Elephas maximus indicus: one gene and its partners. The protein of the gene in region 3 binds, or shares a complex with, the protein of the main gene of each other region. Links are inferred from orthologs where the notes say so. Each region holds a gene or a part of one and is shown on either strand. Other genes may lie near its edges.

What was found.
Region 1: KAT5 (region 3) and ANP32E share a complex: the UniProt entries of both Homo sapiens proteins name them as parts of the SWR1-like complex. The link is inferred for Elephas maximus indicus from reciprocal best matches to the Homo sapiens genes KAT5 and ANP32E.
Region 2: KAT5 (region 3) and EPC1 share a complex: the UniProt entries of both Homo sapiens proteins name them as parts of the nuA4 histone acetyltransferase complex. The link is inferred for Elephas maximus indicus from reciprocal best matches to the Homo sapiens genes KAT5 and EPC1.
Region 4: KAT5 (region 3) and MORF4L2 share a complex: the UniProt entries of both Homo sapiens proteins name them as parts of the nuA4 histone acetyltransferase complex. The link is inferred for Elephas maximus indicus from reciprocal best matches to the Homo sapiens genes KAT5 and MORF4L2.

What each region holds. Positions count from the first base shown.
Region 1 is NC_064821.1:184,387,912-184,394,988, forward strand, and holds the start of ANP32E (acidic leucine-rich nuclear phosphoprotein 32 family member E), read right to left. Parts: upstream 3,010-7,077; 5' UTR 2,686-3,009; coding exon 2,632-2,685; intron 2,483-2,631; exon of another isoform or gene 1,993-2,482; intron 1-1,992. UniProt on the Homo sapiens protein: Histone chaperone that specifically mediates the genome-wide removal of histone H2A.Z/H2AZ1 from the nucleosome: removes H2A.Z/H2AZ1 from its normal sites of deposition, especially from enhancer and insulator regions.
Region 2 is NC_064822.1:5,673,086-5,680,523, forward strand, and holds the start of EPC1 (enhancer of polycomb homolog 1), read right to left. Parts: upstream 2,938-7,438; 5' UTR 2,729-2,937; coding exon 2,576-2,728; intron 1-2,575. Other genes in the region: translation initiation factor IF-2-like, read left to right, coding at 2,938-3,288. UniProt on the Homo sapiens protein: Component of the NuA4 histone acetyltransferase (HAT) complex, a multiprotein complex involved in transcriptional activation of select genes principally by acetylation of nucleosomal histones H4 and H2A.
Region 3 is NC_064825.1:128,857,928-128,864,919, reverse strand, and holds the start of KAT5 (histone acetyltransferase KAT5), read right to left. Parts: upstream 3,006-6,992; 5' UTR 2,777-3,005; coding exon 2,599-2,776; intron 2,273-2,598; coding exon 2,204-2,272; intron 2,114-2,203; coding exon 1,977-2,113; intron 1,688-1,976; coding exon 1,532-1,687; intron 1,443-1,531; coding exon 1,368-1,442; intron 1,260-1,367; coding exon 1,185-1,259; intron 890-1,184; coding exon 641-889; intron 560-640; coding exon 470-559; intron 1-469. UniProt on the Homo sapiens protein: Catalytic subunit of the NuA4 histone acetyltransferase complex, a multiprotein complex involved in transcriptional activation of select genes principally by acetylation of nucleosomal histones H2A and H4.
Region 4 is NC_064846.1:54,508,348-54,516,301, forward strand, and holds the start of MORF4L2 (mortality factor 4-like protein 2), read left to right. Parts: upstream 1-4,951; 5' UTR 4,952-5,042; intron 5,043-5,932; exon of another isoform or gene 5,933-6,126; intron 6,127-6,343; exon of another isoform or gene 6,344-6,508; intron 6,509-7,832; 5' UTR 7,833-7,922; intron 7,923-7,954. UniProt on the Homo sapiens protein: Component of the NuA4 histone acetyltransferase complex which is involved in transcriptional activation of select genes principally by acetylation of nucleosomal histone H4 and H2A.

The DNA of each region.
Region 1 (7,077 bases), on a different chromosome or scaffold from region 3:
AACTTTGAAAAAGGACCCATGGTAAAAGCTGTTTTTGACCCTAATGGTGTTTGAGAATGATCCTCAACAGCAGGGCCCGTATTTATGCAGTGAAGGGACACCTGGGCTATTGGGAAAGGATTCCAGTAAGTTGTCCTAAAAGTTAGCAAGGAGAAGACAGGAAATAGTTTTATTCATTTTTTTCAGTTTTCAACTCCCTCATCTTTCATTGATAAATGCCATCAAACTCAAAAAAAAAAAAACAACCTTGTTACCTTTCTGGAACAGCCTAGCTTTTCGGTGTTATTTGTTCTAATAATGAGGCCAAACAGTATCACCCAGAATATTACATCCTTGACAAAATGTTATTTCTCCCTGCCATCCTGGTAGCATTTTTGTGGACTTTTCTCTATTCTTGGAGGGGAGAGGAGGGCTTGATCCCCCATTAGGTTACTGTTATAGCAACAAAACTTCCTGGTATGGGCCTAAAAGGACTGAATCTTAAGGAGGCAGGAGACCCTGCTCTATTTCCCAACAGCAAAAATATGTTTTAAGTATTTTGAGGGCTAAAAATTAGCAACACGGAATGCCACCTTCCCCATCTGAATATGACTTTGACGTAATTATTTCAGTGAGCAGAGAAAGCATCATCTCTCCCCTAGAGATGGAGAAACCAAGAGCCAGAGGCTATGGATGATTTGCCCAGGGTCACACAATTAGTATGTGGCAGAGCTGTGCCTCAACCCTAAGTCTTCTTACTCCCAGTCTAGCTGAGTGGTGGAAGGGTTGCTAGATTTGGTGTCAGAAACCAGTTCTACCACTTAAGTAAATCACTTCACTGCTCTAAGACTTTTTTTTTTTTTTTTGCTAATTTGGATTCTAGAACAATACAATCCACCTTACAAGTTTATCGGAAAGAGTGAAGTAAATAAAATGAAAAGTGCTTTGTAAACTGTAAAGAGCTTTACAAACGTAAGAGACTGTTATTATATCACGGCGGAGGAAGGAGAATTTGCAAAAAGGCACTCTCTCCTCCAAATCCCCAAAACGGGCAATGCTGCAAAGAAATTACTACGTAAAAAAATGGGAGGTGGGAGGCAAATCCATTTCTCCAACTCAAGACATAAAAAAGTATTCTAAATGTGTGCTTTTGAAAGACTGCATTCAAGTTTGATTTTGCTTTTCCCTGAAGCCCCTGAAGAGTAGATCCTAGAAAACTTCAAGTTTTCTCTGGGATGACCCTGATAGCAGCAACTATTTCCTCCTCCCCGCACCCTACCAATTTCAGGGAAAGAAAAAAAAAAGTACATAAATATCTTGTGTCCCACTCTGCACGCAGCAGCCCACCGGCCAGAATCCTACTCATCTTCTACGGTGCACAGGCACCACCTCACCCGTTAAAAATACATATCTCGCATATTCCAATTCTAGGGCTAACAGTATTTCAGGCGCTGCGCACCAGCAAGGCAATTAACACTTTCCCTTGAAACCTTAAGTCCGAGGCTCCTCGCGGGCCACAGTCCCCGCGCGCGCTCGGGCCGACTGGGAACCCTACATGGTGCGTGGACGCCCCAGGGAAAGGGGTGGTTTGCCGGGCCGCGTTCCCCTCGCGCCTCCGCCGGGGGCTGGGAGCGCTGGGTGAGGCCGAGGGGCGCCTTCGCAAAGGAGGCGGGAACACCTCCCGCCCGCCCCCCGATAGCTGACGACCCCGCCTCACGTGGCCCCTCCCAAGCCCGTCTCTTTAACTAAGGCGACAGTAACTAGAGCGCATCTCTGAGTTTCGTCGTGCCCATCTTTAAGGCACAAAACTACTACGACCCATTTGTTGAGTTTTGTGAACCCATCTCCGCGGATCAAATTCAGAGTTGCGGCCACTACGCCACTAGACACCGAATGTCGTTACATCGCGGTGTAAAAGCCGGGGGTGTCCTCCTCTCCTTTGGAGGGAAGAAGGGGATTCTTCCTCACGACCCCTCCCCACCTCCGGTCACTGCGACGAGTCCCCAAACTTACCCGCGGTCCGACTAGCCCGCGGCTGACCCAGATTCCTCCAGCCGGCGGCCGCCGCGCGCCCCATCCCGGGGGAATGGGCGCCGCCAGGAGCTGGCGGTCCGCGGACCCTGCGAGCGACCCCAGCCCTCGACCAGCGCGAAGTCAGGCGCCAACCGGCCTCGAGGTCGGGGCGAGGGTCTCTTGACCCCTCCGCCCTCGACCCCAAACGAGTTGGCAGCACTGCAGGAAAGTTGGACTAACTTCTCAGGCGGCGGCGCCTGCGGCAGGGGCGAGTGGACCGGGGGGTCGCGCCCACGCCGCCTGCCTCCAAGAAGAGGAAGGCGGGGAGCGACCGGGCAGAGGGGCCCCCACCACCTCGCTTCCCTGCCCCCACGAGGGCAGGAAGCCCAGCTCACCGAGAGTCGAAAGGGGCTAAGCCCCTACACACACACAAAAAGGCCCCTAGAAACTTAAACCCTTCGCCATTTTAAGAAAGAAGATTTTAATGATTTAAAACTTAAAATTAAACATTTCCTCCAGCCCTAACCCCAGATGGGGGTTAATTTCCTACCTCTCCCTACACACCCACTCGGACCCCTAGAAATTCGACCCTCCGAATATGGGGTTGGTGGGGAAGGGGAGGGGGCTGAGTCATCTCACCTCCTCCGGGGCTTTGTTCCTTAACTCCAGGTTAATCCTCTTCTTCATCTCCATGTCCTCCACCTCCTCTTCTGCCACTAGTCTCCTGCCTTCCCCTTTCCTGCCTTTCCCCACCACCCCCAACCCTAAAATTTAAAAAGGTTTGAAAATGAATGAAAAGAAACGCAAATATAACGCCCACCGCCACCAGATAGGTGTGGGGGGGGGGGAAGAGAATAGCAAATGGAGTCCAAGGAGTTGGGACTCTAACTCGGCTGCCCCCACCTCCTTGTCCACACACTCGCGCGCGCGCGCACACACACGCACACACACACTCACACACCCGCAGTTCCTTCCCCTTCAATGGCTGCTCGGAGACTGAGCCTCCATGACACGGCACCGCCAACCCCCTAGCCTACACTCCACCCACCTCCCGAACGTATTGGTTGCTTCTTCAGCATCACACTATTCCGTTGGGCTACGTAATTGTCTATCAGTCTTCAGGGCGGACCTGGACCAGAAACTCTGTGTCTATTGGATACGACCAAGCGCGCAGTTAACTCCGATAGGCCCAGGAGAGTGTCCATCCCAGAAAAATGGTTTTGAATCCCAATAGCCCCCCCCTTTTCTTTGTGTGGTTGGCGCGCTTTCCCCAGGCGCTGGGACGGTTTTGATGCCTGTTGGATTTGTTTTTTTGCTTTTCTGTTTTTAGTGTAAAAGGGAGGGAGAAAGCATCCTATCCCAAGCTACGACACCGATAATTCACCACACACGCACCGGCTCTTGGCCGTTTTAAAACACAGGCCCTGCTTTGCTGCCAAAGTGCACACACCAACGTGCACATCACATTAAAAGCATGCCTTCGTGGCACTGCCCTGCCGGGAACAGGCTTCCCACAGAGACTGATGTTCCGTGGTGCAGAACCAGGATATAGATGGTATTTTAAATTCCATCATGAGGGACTGTCTGATTTTGAAAGCAGTTGGGTGAATAAAACTACCTTGGAGAATTGTTACTGAGGTTAATTGTTGCTTTAATAAACACTGGGACCTTGGAAGTGAAAGAAAGCTGGCCTAATAAAAATCGAACATCGTTTCGCACAGAAATGGCTCTGCAATGCTTCTCCTAATTCCCTTTAGTTGGTTTCCACGGAAATCTGTAGGTAAAGTGTACTTTTAATGCGGAATATAAAAGAGTGGGATAACAATTGTTTTTTTCTTAAGGGTCTAATTTTTCTTAGTTCTTGCTTCAATTCTGTCCTTCTCATTCGCTTACACCCTTTTCAGGATAAACACCCAAAGAAGTTCCAGATGATTTGGGGAGGGAGGGCGGAAGTGATGAATTACCCCCAGGCCTCCCAGAGCTGGGTTTTTATTTGCAATTTTTCCAGTCTCTCAGGTTAGAGACCTTTGGCTTTCCATACACAGGTTCCTCACCACTCTACCACAGGCTGTCTTTCCCCACACAGAGACAGGCATTCCCTCAAATAGGTTTACATTTAAAATGTAAATATTTGGTATTTGGTGTGTTAAATACTTCAGGAGGAAAACAAAATGGTGGTTTTCTTTTTAATGACAAATGTTTCCTTTGAATTCCCTAAAAAGGAAATTTCGTGAAGGTGAAAACAGAGGCTCTTCTAAAGAAGTAGAGAAGGAGGGCTTTTTGGTATAAAATGACATCTCTGGAGGCCATTTGAAGAGTTAGTTAAGTTTTGTGTTTGTTTTAATGCAGGCGAAAAGAAGCCAAAATGATAGGAAAACTGAACCAAAATGAACTGCGGAACAGTTCAAGGAAGAGTTAAAAACCAAGGGAAGAAAAAAAGACCTAAAAGAAACCTGGAAGCAAATTTTAGTACCAGTCCTGAGTTCTGACCCGCCTGCCACTGCATTATCCTGTTTTCTGCAAATTATTTAGCTTCTCTGGTTCTGGAACAGAATCCAAAAGAGACTTCACGGAAGGAGATTGATATTTAGGAGCCATCCACATACAAATGATAGTTGAGACCATGAGAACAATTAAGATCTCCACAGAGAATGTATATAATAAAAAGACTATCAGGCCAAGGAGAGCAAAAACATGGTTGAGAAAAAAGAAGAAGAGGGGGGAGGTATTGTCTACCAAAGCAGACATTTATATTCAAAATGTAAACCAAAAAAACCCAAACTGGTTGCCATCAAGTCCATTCTGACTCATAGCAATCCTATAAGACAGAGTACAACCGCCCATAGGGTTTCCAAGGAGTGGAATTCCTGGTGGATCCAAACTGCCAACTTTTGTGTGTGTGTATGTGTGCTTTAAGTGAAAGTTTACAAGTCAGTCTCTCATACAAAAATTTATATACACCTGGCTATATACTCCTAGTTGCTCTCCCCCTAATGAGACAGCACACTCCTCTCCACCCTGTATTCCCTTGTCCATTCAGCCAGCTTCTGTCCCCCTCTGCCTTCTCATCTCCCTTCCAGACAGGAGCTGCCCACTTAGTCTTATGTGTCTACTGAGCCAAGAAGCTCACTTCTCACCAGTATCATTTTCTATCTTATAGTCCAGGCCAATCCTTGTATGAAGAGTTGGCTTTGGGAATGGTTCCAGTCTTGGGCTAATGGAAGGTCTGGGGACCATGACTTCCGGGGTCCTTCTAGTCTTAGACCATTCAGTCTGGTCTTTTTACGAGAATTTGAGATCTGCATCCCACTGCTCTCCTGCTCCCTCAGGGGTTCTCTGTTGTGTTCCCTGTCAGGGCAGTCATCTGTTGTAGCTGGGGACCATCTAGTTCTTCTGGTCTCAGGCTGATGTAGTCTCTGATTTTTGTGGCCCTTTCTGTCTCTTGGGCTAATAATTACCTTGTGTCTTTTGTGTTCTTCATTCTCCTTTGCTCCAGGTGGGTTAAGACCAATTGATGCATCTTAGAAGAACTGCCAACTTTTATTGAGAAAGAGGTGAATTAAAAAAAAAAGTTGTGGAAGCCAAGGAGTTTGAAGAAAGAGATGGTTATTGCAGTTAAATGGTAAGGCTTTTGTATTGGACCACATGGACAGAATGGGAAAGTATCCTGGAGATAATGTGGGAAAGGTTAAGTCTCTTTGTCCATTTGGATTTAGGTCTTCTTATTCATTTAAGGAGCCCTGGTGGTGTATTAGTTAAGAGCATGGCTGCTAACCAAAAGGCAGGCAGTTCAAATCCAACAGCCACTCCTTGGAAACCCTGTGGGACAGTTCTACTCTGTCCTGTAGGGTCACTAAGTGTAGGGATTGATTCAGTTTTTTTATTGTTTTGTTTATTCTTTTAAAGCTGTTTTAGTAACGTTTGTTGAAGAAATGGAGGTAAATATGTGTTTTAAATTCCCCATGTTTAATCGGAAGTTTCAAGGAATTTTTTAAATTTCTTTTGAGACAACTATTTATTATTCTATTTAACTTCAGCTCAATCTAGCCAATGACTTTGGCACAAAATGCCAAAAACAAAGTCTTAGTAATCAGAGTTGAATGTAATCCTACATTCAACTGTTGAAATATATTGAAGTTTGATAGAAGGTGTAAAATGGTCCATTTAATTAAGGTTTTCCCTGCGTAGTAATTTCAGCTATTTTGCCAAGCAGAAAGAGCAATTCAATACTTTATATTAGAATACATTATTTTAATATTATACTTTCTCATCAAATGATGAGTTTACTTTAAATTTTTTTATCGTGGTAAAAAATATGTAACAAAACAGTTGCCATTTCAACCATTTTTATGTGTACAATTCAGTGACATTAATTACATTCTCCATGTTGTGCAACCATCAGAGTTTACTTTTAATATGTCTTTAAAGAACTTGCTACAGTCACTAATGTAGACTTTACTCGCCTTTAAGCCAAATTTTCCCCCAAATGAACATATCTCTCACTTTAGACTGAGAGTCCATGAGAAGATGGGATTCATTGCACAGAAATTTAACCATGATACAAGTGAACTTTATTTCTGTGTGATGGCTAATAGGTCATGAGGGAGAGAAAAATACTGAATTTTTGCCTAGACTTGTGATGCCACTTGTAGGGTCCTTTGTTTATGTCTCAAAAGGAAGAAGAGTGACAACTCGTGAACATACCATTGGAGGAATGTAACCATTATGGAGGGTAAATACAGCATGAACCATAAAAAAGTACATACCCTAAATTAAAATCAAAATGAGATACCACTATGTATCTGTCAGAAAGGCTACTTTTTTTGTTGTTGTTTTTTTAACTAACAATACCGAATGCTGGCAAGAATGAGGGGCAACTGGAGCTCTCACACATTGCTCGTAGGAGTGAAGAACAGTACAACCACTATGGAAAATAGTTTGACAGTTTCATACAAAATTAAACATATACTAACATATGGCTTAGGAAGCCTGCTCTTAGGTATTTACTCAAAGACAATAAAAATGTATGTCCACTCAAAATAATTCTATTATGAAAACATTCTGCATCCCACTTTGAAATGTGGC
Region 2 (7,438 bases), on a different chromosome or scaffold from region 3:
AGAAAGATAAACGACTGATGCATCTGAATTCTGATGATGAAGAGGAGTGACTATACCATGGACTGCCAGGAGAATGAGTAAATCTGTCTTGGAAGAAGTACAGCCAGAATGCTCCTTAGAATCGAGGATGGCAACACTTGGTCTCATGTACTTTGGACACGTTATCAGGAGAGATCGATTAGTCTCCGGAGAAGGACACCATTCTCGGTAGAGGGTGAGTGAAAAAGAGGAAAATCCTCAATGAGATGGGCTGACACAGTGGCTGCAACAATGGGTTCAAACATGCCAACAACTGTGAGGATGGCGCAGAACCAGGCAGTGTTTGTTATACATTCTGTCACTATAGGTCGGAACCAACTTGACGGCATCTAACAACAACGTGCTTCTCTGGTCATACAGCTTCAGTTGGATGTAAAGTGGAACAAATTCTAAACAGATGATGAAAAGGATAGTGTTATGGAAAAAATGTCTTGTTGTTGCAGTTATGTGCCGTTGAGTCGGTTCCGACTCACAGAGGCCCTATATGACACAGAGTAGAACTGTCCGTAGGGTTTCCAAGAAGCAGTTGGTGGATCTGAACTGCTGCCCTTTTAGTTAACAACCAAGCTCTTAATCACTACACCACCAGGGAATGATATCTAGTGCACTATAAAATGTGGAAATTATTTCAGTGAGCAAAAATTACCTGTAAATTTAAGAAGCACTGATGCTTCAGTTAAACTTGGCTCTGATTTTAGATTGTAGCTCTTGGGACTGCTCAAAGTATTCCCAGAAACAAAACTAAACTTCTAAAGTGTACTGTAGTGCTACCCAGCTTTAATCAAGGGTCTGCCCTTGGCTGCAAAACAAAAACTAGAAATTAATTTCAAAGACCATGTAACACCAACACCCCATCTTGAAAATATTATCTGTAAAACTTAGAAACAAAAAACCAAGACAAGATTCTGCAGTCACAAGTACTTTAATTTTTAAAAACAAATCACTTATTTAAAAATAAACAAATGGCACCATTCTACTCTAAAGTTGATACAAGCCAAAAAAAAAAAAAAAAAGAGGTACTGTCTCATAGATAAGGTGCTGAAAGTCAGTACTGCACTAGACAATCTCAACTACTACATACACTTAGCGCTTAGCTTATCTTTAAAGTTAGATTTAAGACACTACCCAAAAGTAACATTTAACTGCCACAACTATTTTACTTTAAAAGGTTAAACAACCCAAATGGTTTAAACAGTTTTATTTTCAAAAACATTACAGAGCATAATTACTACATTTAAAATTCTTACAGTACCAAATGAAAGCATTACAATTTTCCACAACAAATTTGCAGCAGACAAATCCGCGACTCCTTGACTTCCTTGAACTGTCAATACACTGCGCCCTGTTTAAATGGCTGAAAACCAAGGTATGCAATTCCTTAGGATTAGAAGTCATCAAGTTACACTGTCAAGGATCTGGGGGAAATGAGAGGGACATTCTATTATCCTTGCGTCTGAACTCAACTTCCATAACACGGTAAAGCCACATATATGGCAAAATGTCTATTAGCTGTAAACAGTCATTTAAATACTGAAACCCACCCACTTCAGACATTTCAATCGCCTTATGTTAAGACGTCTGTGAACAAAGTGATTTAATTTTCAGCTCAGTTATGGATGAGAAATGACCCTCTTTCGAAATCCACATCTATGACATTTACTTTAAATCGGGTCTTTTCTCCCCTTAGGCTGAGACCAGAACGCAGGCAAACTTACATGTTACAGAAAAAATAACAAAGTTACAGCCTTTCGAAGAGCCACGTACCCCAAGCAAATCGGCAACATACTCTGAAAGATCAAAGAAAAAGTCAGGGGGAGCAGTTTATCACCCCTCCGACTAACTGGTACTGGAGAGGGACGGATGCGAAAGTCCCAGAAAGGGAATACTGCAAGTCGGTCAAACCTCCCAGGAAAGTAAGTCGTCGCGGCCGATGTGCAATACCCGCGACAGACCGACCTGCTGTCAACAGCACCGGCACTTCCGAGGCCCCCGCTGGCGGACGCGCGGCCTGAGCCCCACGAGCGCTGAAGGCACCAAACGCCCCGCGGTGGCAGGCCCTGCGCGCCCCGGCGGCGGCAGCGGCGCGAGGCCGAGGCGACCCCAGAGCGCCACCCAGCGGCCCGCCAAGAGGCCTGCAGGCAGGTCCTGCCCGGCTCCCAGCTCGCCGCACCCCACCGCCACCCAACCCGTTCCCCTCTCCGGATGCGAAGGGCCCAACCCAAGAACTAAAGACCACAAAATGGCTGCCGGCAGCTTCGTCACGTGACCCCTTTGTGCCTTTCGGGTCCCCCGGACTCCGCGGGACCTGGGTACGAGTGGCCAGTGTCGGCGGCTAGCCTTAGAGGAGGCCCTAGCGGGCCGCGGCGGCCGGGGGTCGAGGCCGGGGGAGGCGGGGTAAGGGCCCGGCCGGCGACTGAGTGTCGGCGGGGAGGAGAAGATGGCGGCCATTTTGTGTGATTATGGTGCTCCGTCGCCGCCGCAGGCAGCAGAGGGAGCGGGGCCTGGCGGTGGGTCGGACAGGGGAGTTAACACGTACCGACTCCTCTTCCTTCTCCATTCCGGTGGGCATCTGCGGCACGGCCCGGTTTATCGAGGCGTATTCGTGCAGGTCGGGCAGATCCTCACAGCGGAAAACCGGCAGCGGCTTCGAGGCGTCTAGCGCCCGCGCCCGAAACGACAGTTTACTCATCTCAGGCGCAGCAGATACCTCTCCGCTCTGGGGAAACGGCCCCGGCCAGCGGGATCATGGAGAACCGGGGGTTCGGTCCCCACTCGCCTACCGCTGCCGGGGACTTGAGGGGCGGAGCGCAGAGCCCGCCGTCCGGGCACTAACAGCAGCCGGGAGGGTGGGAGTCTGTGCCGCTCCGCTCCTCTCTCTCTCGCTCTCTTCAATACGCCATGGCCAACATGGCGGACATTAAAACTCCACTGTGCGCTCTTCAGCCAACCCCAGCCATTCCCCACACTGCATCGCGCAGCGGCGCGGGCACGCGGGGGGGGGCGCGGGCTCGAGACCGGGCGCCGGCACGGAGCGCGCGTCCCGCCAACCCCCGGCTCCCGCCGGCCTCGCTCCCCGCGCTCGCTGCTCGCGGCCCCCGCCCTCCGCGGCCCGGGAGGCGGACAGGGCCGCCGCGCGCCGGGACAGCCGGACGTCGGGACGCTCAGGTGTCCGAGCCGACTTCTCGCTGCTCAGCCCCCTTTCGCGCACACGCTGTCTCGCGCCCGCGCCCTCCTATCGCTGCTTCCTGAGGGGTGAAGGTGCGGAAAACCGGTGTCCGCCCGCTCCCCGGCTTTTCGAAGGGCAACGGGGAGAGAAATGCGTGTGGCTGTTTTTGCCCTGCTCCCTCCGGGGCTGCGCCCGCGCGGGGTCCGGGGGCTCGGGCACCTGTCATCGCAGCAGCCCGGGCGCTTTCCCCGACGACGGCCGGCGCGAGGGCTGGGCGATGCCCAGGGCTATGCCCAAGCCACTTTCGGTGGGGCTTGAAAGGCGTTTCAGAAGTGATGCGCACCGATGCTAAGCTGGGTGGGTGAATGCATATCTTAATTATCCCAGCCTTTTATGTCTTTAAAACAAAAATGCACACGAAATTAGGAGCAAAAAGTTACTTTGGATGAACGTGTACTAGCAATTATTTTTACGTCTAATGAAACTTTGGGTTATATTATTTGATAGGCTCCCCATAAAATCATTGGTCAGTTTCCCACCCACTGGGCTCATAAAAACGGTAAGCATCCTACACTTGTCCCAAGTGGGTTTTTTTTCTTTTTTTTAATCCTGCATATTAACTTTTTTGTCGTAATTAGAGCAAACGGAATGGTTATTGGACACTAATCTCCAGGAAAAATTTTAAGCGAGATCTTCAAACTTTTCAAGTCTATATAGGGAGCCTTGGTGGTGCAGTGGTTAAAGCGCTCGGCTGCGAACCTGACCGTCAAGGCTTGGAACCCACCAGCTGCTCTGCAGGAGAAAGATGTGGCAGTCTGCTTCCCCAAAGATTTACAGCCTTGGAAACCCTATAGGGCAGTTGTACTCTGTCCTAATAGGGTTGCTATGAGTGTGAAATCGATTCGACGGCAGTGGACTTTTGCGTATTCTTTATATTCAGCTCCCAGTTTTCTGTGCCGAAAGATAATGCTGCTTCAACATAGCCATGGGCTCACACTTATTCTTATCATTTGTTCTCTGAAAAAGTTTATAAAATCGAATCATATAAAGACTTGTAGTGTTTCTGCCCTGTCCCCCCCCCCCCAAATAGGAATAACTGAATTATTAGAAGAAATGTAGATGGCTGTGATAGATGGCTGACATTTGGTTTTTATTACACCACATGGCAAAAACCAGTATCCAGAGACCTCTTTCCAGTGGAATGTTGTTAAAATCAAAAAAGATTGCTGGGGTGGATTTGATACGTTTGGCAACAAAGTTTCAAGTGTTAGCCAAAATACAAAAGTGTTTTTTTAAATCTGCTTTTCCCCTGGAGGCCACATAGTAAAAATAATCAGTGTTCTTAAATGCTGGGTTGGAATGAACTGTTATTAGCTTAGGGCACATAGGCACACTGCTATTTTCCAGGTTGCTTTAGCTACACTCCATGAAGTGGGGAGAAGACAAGGAGAGACATAGATTGCAGTTCTCCAAAATTATTCTAAAATTACAATAGTAACAACTCACCCTGTGAGGCAGGACTTTCACCTGCATTTCTTAAACCAAGACTGCATTCACTCAGTGAGTATTTAGGGAGCGCTTACTGCCTCCCAAGTATGCTGCTGATTGCTTGGCACTCACAGGGCTCCAGTAAGAGCCTGCACAGTGGGGGAGAAAGACCTGTGAATGACAATTGCCACACTATGTGGTAAATGTTATGAGGAAAGCCGAGGCCATCATGGGAACAGGCTGCAGTGGCACCCAAATCATGGGGAGTGGCTCCAATGAAAGCATTCAGGGAAGGCTTTTGGAGAAGATAATATCTGAGAAAAATTTTAGGATAAGTATGCGTTAACCTTGCCAAAAAAGAAAAAATGAGGAGAAGAAAGGTATCTTAGGCAAGGGAAGCAGCATCTGTAAAGGCTCAGGGTCACAAGAGCATGTCAAAGTCTGGGAACCTCAAGAATTGCCACCAGCACTGGGAATGGAATGTTGTTGTGTGCAGTCCAGTCGGTTCCCGCCTCATAGAGACTGTATAGGACAGAGCAGAACTGCCCGCAGAGGGTTTCCAAGATGCGAGGTTTAACGACTCAGAAAATACTGGCTGAAATTAGTATAATATTCCTCTCCAGCTTAAAATCCTAATAGTAGAAGTCACAATTGGAAGACTTTATAGAACAAAATAGGATCTTAAGTCATGAGCAAGCCAAGGAAATGAATAATTTCTTTTACTTTCATTAAAATAATTATCTAAGTTCCTTATTCTCTAGAAAGTCTAGATTTGCCCTGCACAAAGGTTCAGAGATACGCTTACAATTTCAGCTGCCTTTTTTTCTCCTTTTTTTCTCCTTGCAGATAATACACCTGCTAAGAGATACCTGTTTTTGTATCGGTTCTCCATCCAGTTTCTCAATGCCCTGGATTTTTAACTCCCAGATTCTACTGGGTTCCCAAGGAGACAAAGGCTGGAGTCCCAAGGACCTCATGAGTTCAGTTCACTTCCCTCTCTCCTAAGGAAGAGGAGTGCAGCAATGAAGGCCCAGGTTTAATTTTCTTCAGCTTCCTTTATCCTGGGACTCCCTGGGTAGTGCAAACAGTTAAGCAAGCACTGGACTAACAGAAAGGTTGGTAATTCGAACCCACCCAGAGTGCCTCAAAAGAAAGGCCTGTCCATCTGCTTCTGAAAAATCACAGCCTTGAAAACCCTACAGAATGTAGTTCTACTCTGCACACATGGGATCACCATGAGTCCAAATCAACTCGACAACAAAGGGTTTAGTTGAGTTTTTTGTTTGTTTGTTTCCTGTATCCCACGGAACAATTTCTTACACTTGAACTTTCTTTTCTATTCCTAACCTGTAAGTTACCTTTTTCTAAATGTACCAAACAAAAGTGATGTGAAATTCTAAACATTGCAAAAAGAAAAAAGTATATTACTGCAAAACTGAACTAATATTTCCTCAAAGGGAAACTCTTGTTTGGTTGGGAAGGGATCTGCAGTATTTAAAAATAGCTTTATTTCATGCCACAAATATTTATTGAATAACTAAGCAACACACAGTGCTATCGTTTCGGAAATACAAATAAGATACTAGTAAAGAGATACCTAGATAACCAAATGCAGTGCTGTAGGGGTTCAGAAAAGGGAGCTGTTGGTTCCAGCTGGGTTCATTAGACTTCACAGACAAGGTGACATACGATTTGGTTTTGAAGGATGGCAGCTGGACATGGGAATGAAGTGGTAGAAGAAAGGGTATTCGTGGGAGGAAGAAACTGTATGAACAAGAGAGTGGGAGGAGGCAACTGCCAGGTAGGTTTGAGGATGTGAAGGTTTACTCTGGCCAGCATTCAGTGGGTGACAAGGACAACTCTCCAGGTATGAGGTAAAACTGCTAAGAAGTTGGGTGGAGGGAATATGAGTAGACAGTAAAGAAACGTAAGTTTTTATGGTGATAATAATTACTTATAATAGCCTCACCCTTGAAATGTGATTTGTTTCAAATACCAAATTTCTGTTAAAAAAAAAAAAAAAAACTTACAATGTGTCAAATGCAAGTACGCTGCTGCTGTATATAATAAACCTAAAATATGGCTCTAAATATTAATTTATGCCCAGTAGGTTATATCCATCCCCTAAATCCTATTATTTTTTCTTTGAAAATGGTTCTAGGATTTGACTCTACGTATTTCCATGCCCACTGTCTTAAACACAGACCATGCTCTCATCACTTCACACCTAGAAACAACCTCCAATCCAATTCCTATTTCATTCATTCATTCCTTCAATAAACCTTTCTTAAAGTGTTTGTTTGTAGGCAACTATGACTAGTGGTAACCAGTAGTGACTGGTAGAGGCTGTGGGTTCTGGGGATATGAGCAAACACACTGTGCCCTTGGGGTTTTACAGCAGAATGCCTGCCACCAAATCCGGGTACCAAAATTTCTACTTCCACTCTGTATCCTCCTTTCTCAAGTCATAGACGTATAATTTCTCTTTGTTTTGCTCATTAAATAAAATGTAAAATCCTTTGGTGTGGTTGTTAAGGCCTCACATAATTTTGCCTCACTCTCCCAAACTTTCTCCCAAACCGACATCTTTGTCATTATTGTCCCAGACAGTCCCTTCGCTTTGACCTGGTAAGTCTCATCACTGTCTTCAAAATTCATCGAGTCTCTTCTTGCCTCCAGGTTTTTATTCATTTCTTTCTCCCTATCCTCCCCCTCTCTCTTCAGATTGCAGTCTACTTCTAGCTA
Region 3 (6,992 bases):
CCCTACTGACCTTGTTTCCACCACCTAAACTCTGTCCCTTCTAAGAGCCTTGCACCTTCCTATCTTCCCTGCCTTTCAGCTTTTCACACACACCATCCTTGTACAGCAGGCCTGCCTTTCAGCATCTCACTGCTCAGAATCCTCTCACGTCAAAGATCACCACTGTGAAGCTTTGTGGACTACCTCCTTAGGGTCCTGGTAACCCACCCTTGGACTCATGACACTTGTCACTCTGGGATGTCACAGGCCATTGGCAGGACTTTCCCATGGGCCACGGGGTCTCAGCAGAGACTGTCTAGTTTCTGGTCATCCTAGTACATCCCAGCACTACTAGTACTCAATAAAAATGGGCTGAACCAACATGTTGGCCAGACTGGTGAGTGTTTTCCTAAGCAGGAAGAAACTGCTCAACTTCCTGTGTCCCAGGCCACCAGCTCCAAGGACACCCCACTGCTCCTCAGTTGCTGACCTTATTCTTGCGGCCATCAATCTCAAAAAAGGAGATGGTGCCCTTGCGGTAAATCTCGTTGCCTGGGGGGTGTCGCAGGTCGCACTTGGTCTGGGGAAGAAAGGAGGGTCAGAAGCAGGAGTGGGGGCAGGACGAGGTGCTGGGAGAGCAGCCTCCTGGGGCCCCTCATACCAAGTGACGCTGCAGACACTTGAGACTCCGGCCATACTTGAGGCAGAACTCGCAGAGATAGAGGACAGGCAACGTGGTGAGCTCTTGTGGGTACGGGGAGAAGTACCACGGCTTGAGGCGGTGCCGGCCCAGCTCAATGCACTCGATGTTTTTCATCCGGGTGACTATGTCGTCGTGACTCCGGTCGGACACCAGGCTACCAGTCATGCGTGGTGCCGATGGAATTCCATCTGAGCTGTCCTGGGAGTCCTGCCCAGGGCCAGTAGAAAACACCAGGTTACGAGAGATGACTCAAGCAGGACACTACAGCTTCCACAGCAACACTATAAAAAAGTACTATAATCCCACTTTCCAAACGAAGAAACTGAGACCCTGAAATCACCAAATGACTGGTCTGAAACATGCTCTACACCTGGCTGCAGATATCAGACACCACTGCCACCTAGCCCTCCCTTGTTTCTTTTTAAACTAGGCACTAAACTCCCCCTGCCCACATGCCCTCCCTTACCCCTAGCTTTCCTCTTCCTCTGCTCCCCAGACCCACCTCATCAGTGCCCAAACAATTTGATTTCCGCTTCCGTCCTGGCTGAGCGGCCACTGCCCTACGGGCTGATCCATTCTGCAAATGAAACAGTAGGAATAGAAGAGCCGAATGTGACATAACCTTAAAAGGGCTACCAAACGATAAAAGAGAGAAAAGGAAAAAGGGATAGTTTGGGGTACTCACCTGGGGAAAAACTGAGGCTGGGGCTGTCTCGCTGGGCACCGGAGTTGCTGGTGAAACCACCTCCACCTTCCGTTTCTGCAGAGAGAAACCAAGAAAGGTGGGTCAGAAGGTAGAGAACGTGGGACCTGAGAGTAAAGCAAGGTCCCTGGAATTGCTGAGGGTACCGTAGAGCGGTGATTGGGCTGCAGGCAGGAGCTGGAGGAGAGCGGCTGGTCGGGCTCGCCACCGGGGATGGCCTCCCGCTCCTTGGGCAGGTTGAAGCGGAGTGTGATCTGGACCGGGATTGGCAAGGTCTTCCCGCTGGCCTGGGCGGAGGCCGGCTGTAGAAATAGGTCCAGGGTCTTCCTCTGGGTTGCCATGGTGGTGGAATGGGGCAGGGGAGGAGGGGGCCCTCAGCACCAAGTGATCAAACCCCACCCTCTGCCCTCTCAAGGGCATAGAAATAGCCACTGGATTCTGGAAGCTATGACTGCAATGTGGCCCCGTCCTTTGCAGGCTGAAGCCAGGGTGAGAGGCTTACTGCCTCCTGCCCATCCAGGAGCCCCTGAGGCCAAGAGACAAGAGCAGTAGGAGGCAGGAGAGAAGAGGAGAAGCAGGTGACCTACTCACCACCTCTCTCTCTGGAGAGCCGGGGCGGGACCCAGGAAGCCCGTTCTTGGTGGGGGTCTTGGCCTCTTTCTTGGGAAACTGGATCTTCTTTAAGTCCAGCCGCTCGTGGGTCACCCATTCATCCAGACGTTTGTTGACTGCAGCAATGGGGATGGCTCAGGAAGGGATGCCAGAGGCTGCTCCCCAGCCCTACCCGCAGCCCCACCTCACCCGGTCCCAGAACTCACAGTCAATGTAGTGAACATAAAAAAGCTTCCGGCCACTGATGTCCTTCACGCTGAGGATCTCGGCCAGGGCTGCGGGAATAGCACAGGCAGGAGCCTTAGAGGGCCCGGCCACGAAGCTCCACCCTGCCACGACCTGAACTCCACCCCCAGCCCGGATCCCCTAGTCCCAGCACTTGGAAGCTCCCACCCAAGTCCCCTTTAGTCTCCAAATGGCACCCCTTCTCCAAGCCCCGCCCCGTCCATCTCAAGCAGCTACACGCCACGCCCCTCCTTCGGAGTGCCTGCGCCCCGCCCGCCCCAAGATTCCAGTGGCCCCTCCCCCTCCCGGGGGTTCGGTTGATCCGACCCGCCCCTCGCCCTCAGGTTGTTTAGCCCCGCCTCCCGACGTCACTCACGCCACTCATCCTCGTTGTCCTGGTTCCGCCGCAGAACGGGCAGGCGGCAGCCCTCGATTATCTCCCCCTGGGGAGACAGCGCGGCGCCAGGGTCGGCTACTGGGGGGCCTCGGGCCCTACCCACCTCCCCTGGCTCCCTCCGCCCCGCCCCAGGCACCGGACTCACCACCTCCGCCATCTTCCCTCCCTCCACTGCCACTTCCGGCTCCTCTGGGCGGCGTCACTTCCGGGGCTGAGGGAGCTGCAGGCCCGGGCTCCGCGAAGCCACCTGAGAAGCGAGATCCTTGAGGGATGCTACCGCCCGGCTGGAAGCAGGGAGCCGGCCCGTTCAGCTGGCTGGAGAAAGGGGCTTTCTAAGCCTCGGGCCGGCTCCTGGGTGGCCTCTCCATCCCGTGCCCAATGATTGGAGGAAAACTGAGTCCGTCACGTGACGCCCACCGGGTGCGACGCTGGTCATGTGGATGAGGCGCGGGTCACGTGGGACGAGTGTTTTGAGCTTTTACCTGTGGCCGTGCACGGGCGTCTCCTGGTGGCAGCAGGAGAAGTCGCGGAGAGTGAACTGCGCGTGCTCGGTGGGGGGCGGGGTCGGTGCGGCGGGGCGGGCCTGCAGGACAGAATAATACGTACTTTGGGAGGCTGGATGAGTGGGTGGGGCTCAAACTCTGCAGGGCCCGAATACCGGGCCAAGTTTAATATGCTTGAACCCATGGTTGCAGCGAGTGTGTCGGTCCATCTTGCTCGGGGTCTTCCTGTCTTTTGCTGACCGTCTACTAAGCATGGTGTCCTTCTTCAGGGACTGGTCCCTCCTGATAACACATCCAAAGTATGTGAAATGAAGCCTCGCTATCCTCCCTTCTAAGAATCATTTTCGCTGTGCTATCAAGACATTATTTTTTGGCAGTCCATAGTATGTTTAATTCTTCACGAACACCATAATTTAAAGGCATCAATTCTTCTTTGATCTTCCTTATTCATTGTCCAGCTTTATGCATGCCTGTGAGGTGATTGAAAATATGGCTTGGGTCATACTTACCCAGTGTCTTGGAGTCGACTGTGACTCATAGCGACCCTATAGGACAGGGTAGAACTGCCCCATAGAGTTTCCAAGGAGCGCCTAGGCAGATTCGAACTGCTGACCCTTTGGTTAGCAGCCGTAGCACTTAACCACTACGGCTTGGGCCAGGCACACCTTAATCCTTAAACTGGCATCTTTTTAACACTTTAAAGAGGTCTTTTTGCAGCATGAAGAAAGCAAGAGGTCATTAAAAAGGAAAGGAAGAAGACCAAAATGGATGTCAGAAGAGACTCTGAAACTTGAACATAGAGCAGCTAAAGCAAATGGAAGAAATGAATAGCTGAACAGAAGATTTTAAAGGGAGGCTGGAGAAGACAAAGGAAAGTATTATAATGAAGTGTGCAAAGACCTCAAGTTAGAAAATCAAAAGGGAAGAATATGCTCAGCATTTCTTAAGCTGAAAGAACTGAAGGAAAGAATTCAAGCCTTGAGTTGCAATATTGAAGGATTCTATGGGAAATATATTGAATGGTGCAGGAAGCATCAAAAAAGTTGGAAGAAGCATACAGAGTCACTATACCCAAAAGAATTGGTTGATGTTCAGCCATTTCAGAAGGTAGCAAATGGTCAAGAACTGATGGTACTGAAAAAAGTAGTCCAGGCTGCCTGAAGGCATTGGCGAAGGCTCCAGGAATTGACAGAATACCAATTGAGATGTTCTAACAGAAGGATGCAGTGCTGGAAGTGCGCGCTCATACATGCCAAGAAATTTGGAAGACAGCTACCTGGCCACCTGACTGGAAGAGATCCATATTTGTGCCCACTCCAAAGAATGGTGATCAAACAGAAGGTGGAAATTATCGAACAATATCATTAATATCACACACAAGTAAAATTTTGCTTTGATTTTGTCTATTAGGTTCTGATTTTTTAAATAATACATCTATTACCCTTTCATGGAAACCGTGGTAGCATAGTGGTTAAGTGCTACGGGTGCTAACGAAAAGGTCAGCTGTTCGAACCCACCAGGCATTCCTTGGGAACTATGGGGCAGTTCTACTTTGTCCTGTAGAGTCACTGTGAGTCAGAATTCATTTGACAGCAGCCGGTTGTGTTGTTGTTTTTTTTTTTCAATCCTTTTATACATCCAGCAAATACTAAGTGAGCCCTGCCATGTGCTAGGCACTATTCTCGGAACTTGGAATACATCAGTGAACAAAATAAAGATCCTGCCCTCATGGAGCTTACCTTCTTGGGGACTGAGAGGGAAAAGAGTGGTATAGATAGTAAATGATACACATAGTTAGAAAAGCAAATTTAGCGTGCTATGGGAAGCAAAATCAATGAGCAGGATACATGGGTAGGATACAGGTAGGCAGGTTACAATTTAAAATACGATGTGCAGGGGAGGCCTGGCTGGAGTGTATTATTTGAGCAGAGATTTAAAGGAACAAGAGGGTGAGTCATGCGTATACTTGGGGGGAAAGATGACATTGGACATCATTGGTCACTTGTCTCCCTTGAAACACTCTTTTCTTGGCTTCCAGAACGCCAGACTCTCCTCGTTTCCTTCGTAGTTCCCTGGCTGCTCATCGTCTTTATTGGGTTAAGTTCCTGTCTGTGACCTCTAAACATTCTGTTAAAGAAAATGCTGCCCTCCCCGCCTATTTAAACTTAACTCTCAGACCGTCACTGAAACTGGAAACTTGTGATAAAGGCAGTTTTGGGGAAAGTTTAAATAATTAGGTAAGTCATAACTAGCCTATAGAATGTGTGCAAACTTAATAAAAAAAACAGACATAGTAAGAGGTGGGGGTGGGGGAGTGGGTACTGTAACCTTGCTCACAGTGAGCGTTTTGGTTGAATATCTACTAGACAAGGGGTTGGCAAACTATGACAAATCCAATCCACTACAAACCAGGAGTTAAGAATAGTTTTTACGTTTTTAAATGGGGGGAAAAGTGAAGGCTATTTTGTCACACGTGAAAATTACATGAATTTCAAATTTCAGTGTCCGTAAATTGTCTTACTGGAACTCAGTCACACTCATTTGTTTACATTTTGCCTCTGACTTCTTTTGTGCTACAACTGAGTAGTTGCGTTTGAGATAGTAAGGCACACAAAGCCTAAAATGTTAGCTACCTAGCATTTACCAAAAACAGCAACACGACAACAAGCTCTTGTAACACCACCACACATCCCTTTACACAAAAAAATGTTTGCCAACCTGTTTTAGATTATTGTGCTTATATCTGTTTGACACGAAATAGATTCTTACCACGTATACTGTTCTGCGATCAGCTTGTTCACTCAGCAATATAAATTGAATGCTTGTCATTAAATATTCTCTAGTATTTTAATGGCCATATAATGTTTCCTCATTTAGAAACACCTTAGCTGCCATAACCAATTTCCTGTTGTTGGACATTCAAGTTGTGTCCAATTTCCTGCTACTACAACACTGCAAAGAGTGAGCATCTGTATACTTGCGAGTTTCCATGTATTCACCCCGGCCTGACTTACATTGAAGATGTTAATGGGGAATGACTATATCTGCATTCTAGAAAGACCACCCTGGTGGCTGTGTCCTTGGATTGGAGGGGCTAAGACAAGAACAGGATACCAAGCAGAAGACTGTTGAAATTGATTTTTCACTGGCTGATAACGGTCAGGAAATGTCTGTGCACACTACGTATGCGGTAAACACAGTTTCAGTTGCTGCCACTCCATGTTGACCTCCACACTCTCAATCCGATGGCCGTTCCTCAGTCTACTTATTAGTGACATTGGACATCATTGGTCACTCCTCTCCCTTGAAACACTCTTTTCTTGGCTTCCAGACGCCGGACCGTCCTCATTTCCTTCCTAGTTCCCCGGCTGCTCATCGTCTTACTGGATTCTCTTCCTGTCTCTGACCTCTAAACATTCTGTTAAAGAAAATGCTCCCCCTACCTGTCTCAACTTAACTCTTAGCCATTCACTGAAACTAAAAACTTGTGATAAAGACAGTTTCATTCGTTAGGCCATAGCATACGTGAATACTTAATAAAGCAAGTCAAACTGCCTCCTACCGGCTAAGTGAATGACAACCAATCATTTAAAATTTCCCTTTTGGGAAATTCCACAACAGTTTGTACTGTGTATAAGCTGGTCAAGACAGTTCACATGTGCCAGTTTTAGCCCTGGACTTCATCTTTTTATCCATATTCACTTCTTTGGTGATCCCCAAGTTCATGCCTAAATATCACCCATGGGCTGAGGCTTCTCAAATTTTTATTTACAACCCAGACCTCTCCTGAACTCCAGACTCTCGCTGCCCACTCAGGAGGTCTAAAAGGCATGTCCGTTATAAAGAAAATGTTCTACATTCTACTTTGGC
Region 4 (7,954 bases), on a different chromosome or scaffold from region 3:
AAAGGAGAGAAGAGCTAGAAAAGAACAGATACCCCTAAAAGGATAAAGCTTCCTCGTGACTATTCTCATCTTTTGTTCTATCTGCCTTGGGCTAGCAAACCAGTCTGATCCAGACAAATTTGCTGAACTGGTTTTATGAAATCCCTTTGGAATGAGGCAGGTATAAACAGATAAACAAAAAAATCCTTAGTAAAGAAATACCATTTTGCTTAGCCTTAAAGTATTAGGTTTTGTTTTTGACTTTTAAGTTGACCAAACATTCTTTTTAAAATCATCTAATAAGCTAGTCAGAACCAAATGAGAGAATATATATATCGAATTAACCTTTAGAATGGACATTTCTCTCCTACCCACAGCCATGCGACGTGTGTTAGTTATCTAGTGCGGCTATAACAGAAATTTATTTCTTCACAATTTAAGAGGCTAGAAGTCTGAATTCAGGGCACCGGCTCTAGGGGAAGGTTGTCTCTCTCTCTGTTGGCTCGGGGAAGATATTTGTCTCAGCTTCCATAAGCCCCGTGTTCCTAGGTTCCTTGGAGATCCTCGCATGTGTTTCTGTCATCCCCACTTTATGCTTGCTTGCTTCTGTGTCTAACCTGCTCTTTATATACCTCAAAACTCATTAGGTTTAAGACAAGCCCTACACTGATATGGTCTCATGAACATAACAAAGAAAACCCTATTCCCAAATGGGATTACATCCAGAGGTATAGGGGTTAGGATTCCCACACATATTTGGGGTTGGGGGACACAATTCAATCCGTAACAGGACACTGGCATTCCTCCCCACCCTCCAGAACAGATCAACACTGCCTTCCAGACCTTGGAAGGCTCTCTAGGCAAGACAAGCAAGGCCAGCAGATACTGATGGGCAGGCTGCACACTACACAAGGGTGTCCAACTGAGAGAGCACAAGTTGGGGCAGAAATTCATCCTTTGGTGAAGACTGCAACATCGCAGAGAAAGAAAAGCATTTTTTAAAGTATTTCACTGGAGTGGATACCTTTTTGCAATTTATCTGGAGCCAGGAGGCAGGCACATGGTTCTAACTAGCACAAAGGTATTGTATGAGCTAATGGTGGCCTTGAAGATAAACACAGGGTGCTTGGAGCCATTGAGTGTCCTGTGAAGGCTGAGACCATAAATAGCTCTGTCTGGCCTTGGGCCTTGGAGCCAAACAAACATTAACCAAAGCTATCTTTCCTTTCCAGTTGAAAGGGACTGTGAAGACAGTTGTTCAGCTGTAAATTCAAAAGGAAGAAGAGTAAGTTCTATCTTCCGAGGATCTACTAAGAATCGGGAATCTGCTGAAGCTTTTTCCTACAAGTAAGTGGAGGGTGCCGGATTGTATTCACTTTTGAGAGGGTAACATGGCATAATGGGGAAAGCATGGGCTTTGGAGTCAGATGAAGGAGCCCTGGTTGCCCAGTGGTTAAGCACTCAGCCACCCGCTCTGCAGGAGGAAGATGTGGCAGTCTGCTTTGGTAAAGATTGTAGCCTTGGAAACCCTATGGGGCAGTTCTACTCTGTTCTATAGGGTTGCTATAAGTTGAAATTGACTTTATGGCACTGGGTGGGTAGGTTTAAAGTCAGACAGAGAAATCTGAATCTTTGTCATTTACTATCTGAGCAACTTCAGGTAAGTATTTAACTTCTCTGGGCTTCAGTTAGGATTCACTAAGATAACAGATATCAAGAGCTGAGCCTAGTGCTGCCTGGCACGTAGGAGGCATTCAGTTCCCATGCCCTTCTCTGCTACCACCCTGACTCCAAAGTTAACTCATGTCATTCACACTCTTGGCCTTGAAACTTCTCCCAGTAAAGCATAAAGATGGGTCTGCTAGACAGACCTACTGGAGCAAGAGTCAGGAGATGTGGGCCCTGGTGCCAGACACATCCTGTTATAGTACTTTGGGGAAGTTACTCCTCTCAGCTGACCACCTTAATAAAACAGAACACCCCTAACACCTCCGAAAGAAAAAAGCAGAGGAAATCACTTTTCTTGGGCACTTGCCATGAGGAGTGCACTGTGCTAGGCCCTTTTGTTGTTGAGGAAACCCTTGTGGCACAGTGGTTAAGTGCTATGGCTGCTAACCAAAAGGTCGGCAGTTCAAATCCACCAGGCGCTCCTTGGAAACCCTGTGGGGCAGTTCTACTCTGTCCTATAGGGTCGCTATGAGTCGGAATTGACTCGACAGCAATGGGTTTTGGTTTTTGTTGTTGTCGTTAGCTGCTGCCCAGTCATTTTCAACTCATAATGACCCCATGTGACAGAGTAGAACTGACTCATAAGGTTTCCTAGGCTGTCACTATGAATTGGAATCAACTAGACAGCAACCCGTTTGTTTTTTTTTTATCTTTACCAGACCAGATCGCTAAGTCTTTTCTCCTGTGGAGCTGCTGGGTCGGTTCATACCGCCAACCTTTCGGTTAGCAGCTGAGCACTTAACTGTGACCCCACCAGGTCTCCTTAGTCCCTTTTACATACTTTATATTCTCTAAATCAGTGCTATCCAATAGAACTTTCTATGATGGTGGGAATGTTGTATATCTGCACTGTCTAATACAGCCATTGGCTACTGTGACTGAGGAACTAAAGTTTTTAGCTAATTCATGTAAATTTAAGTAGCCACATGTAGCTAGCGGCTACAACACTGGATAGTACAGCTCCCTGGGGGACATAAACATTTAAGCGCTTGACTTCTATCCAAAAGGTTGGCTGTTCAAACCCACTCAGAGATGCCTTGGAAGACAGGCCTGGAGATCTGCTTCCGAAAGATCACAGCCTTGAAAACCCTACGCAGCAGTTCTAGTCTGCACACATGGGGTCGCCATGAGTCGGAATTGACTCGACAACAACAACAAAGATTATGAAGCACGAATATTTTTTACCATTTAATCTATGGTAAAACTGAGACTCAGAAAAGTTAAAGAACTTGTTGAAAGTCACTTAAGTATTAAGTAATTAAACCAGATTCAAAACGTAGGAGTAGAAAGCTTAGTAGGGTAATAAGGTTAGATATACCTAGTATTATCTAGGTTCCACCATTTACAAATTGTATGACTGAGTAAAAAAATATCTGGAACTCACTGTCATCATCTATAAAATGATGACAGACCTCTTGTTGAAATTAATGGGTATAGATCTATATAGTGGGGTCCATACTAGGCTTTCGAGAACTTTTATTCCCTCAGCACTATGATTCCTCCCTTACACATGGAAGAGATTCAGACATAAACTAAAAAAGAAACAACTTCAGGGTAGACAGAGCATTTGGGAAATACAAAAGCAAGAAGGGAAACACTCATGAGCTTTTATGTGATATCCAATTATAGAATGGAGATGGAGAAGGGTATAAAATCATCAAAATATCTCCATTTAATTGATCTGCTTCCCTGCCCTTCCTTGTCTCTCTAGTTAACATTAGCCAAAGTAAGGAAGAGAGAAAGTATTTGTAATGTGTTTTGAGGCCCAGAGACAAGCTATAAATTGAACAATAATGTTAAGGGCTAGGATTGAGAGGCAGATACAGTTCAAATCCTGGTTCCCATATCTGTTTGTGCACTTGGGGAAATAATTTGACACCTCCTGACGGCACTGGGTTTTTTTTTTTACACATTAGTTCCTAATCCAGAGTGTCTCAATAAGCATAAAAAAATTAATTGTTTATTATCTTGCGTTAAATTCTGTAGCACCCTCTAGTGGTATGTGCAAAATAAGCATTGCATTTCTGCCCTCCAAAGCGCTGGTTCTCAAATTTTAGTGTGCATCTGAATAACCTGGACAGCTTCTAATAATACAGATTGCCAGGCCCCACCCCAAGAATTTTTGATTCTGTAGGTTTGAAGTGAGGAGGCCTGGTGGCTCAGTGGTTGAGTGATTGGCTGCTAACCAAAAGGTCGGTGGTTTGAACCCACCAGCAGTTCTGCGGTAGAAAAGACCTGGCTATCTGCTCCTGTAAAGATTTCAGCCTGGTAAACGCTATGGGGGCAGTTCTGTCTTAAAGGTTCTCTATGGGTCAGAATCGACTCAACGGCAGACAACAGGGCTGAGTGGGGCCTGACAATCCGAATTTCTAACAACTTCCCAGGTGATGCTAAAGCTGCTAGTTCAGGAAACATACTTTGAGAACCACTGCTCTAAACGACCCCGGACCGACATACACACATAATGTATATATGATTGATAACTCAAAGAGGAATGATTTTTGTTGTTGGATTTTGATTTTGTAGTACCCACCTAAAAGGGATTTTATGAGGAATAAATGAGAATATCCATGTGAGGTCAACACCGCATCTAAAATATAGAAAGCATGCAAAAAACTGAGAATCACAGAACATAAATCATTTGCCCAGAGTCACAGGGCTATAAAGTGGTGACATAGAGATTAAAAGGTCTCTGGCTCCAAAGACATAATAAAGTTTAGCAGTACCACTGCACATACACACGTGTGATAAAATTGTCATGAGAAAAGATCAGTTTTCAATGCCAGATCCAAGTTTTACCTCAGAGTTTTTAATCTATCTTTACGGACTAAACAGCCCTCTGTGTACTGTTTTGGGGGGTTGTTAACATTTGAGAAGAAGGTGAACAGAAAGGGTAGAATCTTCATCAGCATCAGTGCCTAGTATCATTCATCACTTCCCTAAAAAAAGAAGGCATGGAAGAAAGAAGACAGAGGAATGAGGAAGGAAAAAAAAATTTTAAGGGATGAGGTAAGAAGGAAAGAAACAAGAAAAGCATTTGGATCTTGGGCCATGGTCCCCTGCCTATTAGGGCCATTTACAGAGGTTGGCTTCATTTTCCCCCTAGAAACGAAAGAAAGATATACTCACTGGAGATTGGAGAGTTCAGCAAATCAGAAACACGGGAGGACAAAATCCCATAATTCCAGGGACCAAATAGCCAATCCTTTGCTAGGATTTGGCGACATCTAGTGGCCGACTTGAGAGGTATAAACCTCATCCAGAGAACTTTCTGGAAAATTAATTGTGTGTGTACTCGCTTGAAGGGCACTGTGCTTGGTGGTCAGGACAAAAAGGTAAGAGTTCCTCAGCCGCCACAGAAATTTACGGTCCTTCGTGAAGGGAGAGGCAGTCGTATATTGATTATCCCAGCAGAAAATTATATTTGTACTAGGGGAATTGCGTGCAACTTTGGGGACGAGCGGGGCTAGGGGGCGGGCAGGGAGAAAGGGGTGGGAATGGGAGAGAGGGGCAGGGAGCAGGGAGCTGTCCTGAGAAGGGGGGAAAAGGGACGGGGGACACAATGGAGAGGGGGAAAGGGCGCGAAGGGGGGGAAGGGAGAGAAGAGTCGAGGGATGGGCGGGAGGCGGGGGAAGGTAGGGGGAAGGGCGGGCGGGGATGGGAGGAGGATATTGGGGAATATGAAAGGAGCTGCCCCTTGGAGTTGCTAATAGAGGAACGGGAGGGTTTGGCTCTTGTGCAATGGGGAGATGTGATTTAGAGCAGGATTTTGGCACCGAGCAAAACGTGGAAGGGTCTAAAATTGAGTCAATAGGAGAAACCAAAATACTTCATATAACAGAGGCCCTTTGTTATTATCCGCTTGACTTATTTTCCTTTTTTTTAGAACAATTTTCAAACATACAAAAGTAGAGAACAATTGCTATAATAAACACCCACACACTTATTACCTAAATTTAACATAGTGCAGCTCACCTATAGGTAAACACACACACACTCACACCAACCCCACTCAGGGACACACACCGTGCCCCAAAGCTAAGGGCGCAGGCTGGCGCACACCCCCAGGCCACGCGAGCTCGCCTGCGCGCGCGCGCACACACACAGGCCCCAACGACACGCGCCCGAGCCACCCGCCGCCTCCACTCACACGCATATTAAAAACACCCCCGCCTCCCCCCCCCGAGTTGCGCAAGAGGTTGGGGGGCGTGGCCCCAGGTTTGACCTCGCGCTTCCCCACCGGCGGGAACCTTAGCTCATTTCCGCCGTCCCGTTTCCGCAGGCCACGTAGACACTTCCTTTCCCAGTGTGGCGGGGGGGACCCATAATGCCTCTCTAAAGAAAAAAAAAAAACCTTCTGGTCAAGGGAACTCTGGGTCGTGAAAATAGGCCACGTGAACACTGTGCTCTATAGACTTATGACCCAAAGGCTGTCGCGCTTTTGGAGGGTGGGCTAAGAACCTAAGAGGGCGAATGTGATTGGCTGCAGCTCACAGTAAAGAAGGAAGGTGATTGGTTTGCTCCGAGCCTTAACCGTGAAGAAGCAGGTTACTAGCACCCGCCTTTACTGCGGCTAAGTGTCACTGCTTACGTGGTAGTCCTCGTCCAATCATTTGGTTATAGAACATTCTAAAACTTAGACAAGACGAATGTGATTGGCTGAAGGGCATAAGCCCGCCTTTAGGATGACGTGTCTGCCTATGGATATCAGTTGCCAGAGAAACCTGGCTTTACTATGGCGGTTGGAGGAACGGCAGTGATCACACGTCGGCTGTTGGGAAGAGCTGGATTCTCGTTTCAGGTTTCGGGGTGGGGGTGGGGAGGAAGGGTTGGTGATTTCCCTTTATCCTGTGTATGTATAAGGTATATATATACACATATACAGACAGAATCAGCTACTGGCTTTACAATCGGTCAGAGCTGGTTCAAATTCCTGCTCGCCAACGCCCAGCTCGGGCAAGGCTCCGATTCTTTCTGTATCTCGGTTTCCATGTTTGTAAAATGGTGATAATAATAGTATCTACCTCAGAGACGTGTACGAGGGTTAAGTATGATAGTGCGTATAAGGCGCTCAATACGAAGCCTGGCTCTTGTAGATATTATTATTACTATGGAGATAAAGCCTCACATAACAGAATGAGAAAATATGTATTATGTAAATTCGCTCATTATAGTGCCTTCCCTGCCCATCAACTTCCCTCGAAGAAATTAGAGATGTAAGAGGCGTAATTGTTATCGATGAAACAATACGCCGAGATTTGCTTCGGAATAGGATTGAAATTTTCCAAATTGAAAAGTAAAAAAAAAAAAAGATTGAAAACGAGAGCGAGCTGGAGATCAACCACATGCGATGAGTAGGCCTTGTTTGGTTTCTGATTTGAACACAACTGTAAAACGTTGTTTAAGATACATAGGGAAAATTTGATCACCGACTCGATGTTTTATGGCTTTTAAGAAATTTATATCATTTTTTAGGCGTTATAATGATACTGTGGTTATGGTTTTAAATTTTCTACCTTGTAGCGATATCGACTAAAATATTCACAGATTAAATAATATAATGTCTGGGATTGGCTTCGAAATACGTTGACGACTAGGATTTGCTTCAAAATAATTTCTGCGAAGGGGAGAGCGGAGAGGGCTGTAGATAAAACAAAATTGGCCTGAAGTTAAAAATCGTTTAAGCTGACTGTTATTACTCTGTCTATCTTAGTGTATGTTTGAAATGTTCCATAATGAAATATAAAAAATCAGCTATTTGGTGCTTAAAAAATTGGAGGGGGGGCAGTGGGTGGGGTTATAGATGAAACAAGATGGCCTTCAGTTGGTAATTGAAGCTGGGTGATAGATTCGTGTGGGTTGGTGATACTATTCTATCTAAATTTTTGTCCATTTGATTTTTTTTCCTTCATAAAATGGTTTTTAAATATTAGTTTGTTTAAAAAATAGGTTAAATGTACATGATTTGAAAATATAACCACAAGAAAGAAAAAAATATTTGTGCATATTTATCAGCTTTGGTGTTCTTTGTGTGTGATAAAATGCATTGATTGATGGAAAAGAAAACCGTGGTCTGATATCTTTTTATTTTATGTCCTTTCCTGTCCCCTTCTTTGACCTTCTAGGTCATCATCAGAAAAGCTAAGTTAGTTGCACAGTAAGGATCAGAAGATCTGATCCTGATTACAGAACCATCCCTCATTACAGAATCTTGGGTAAGTGCTTCCCTTCTCCTGGCCTCAGTCCT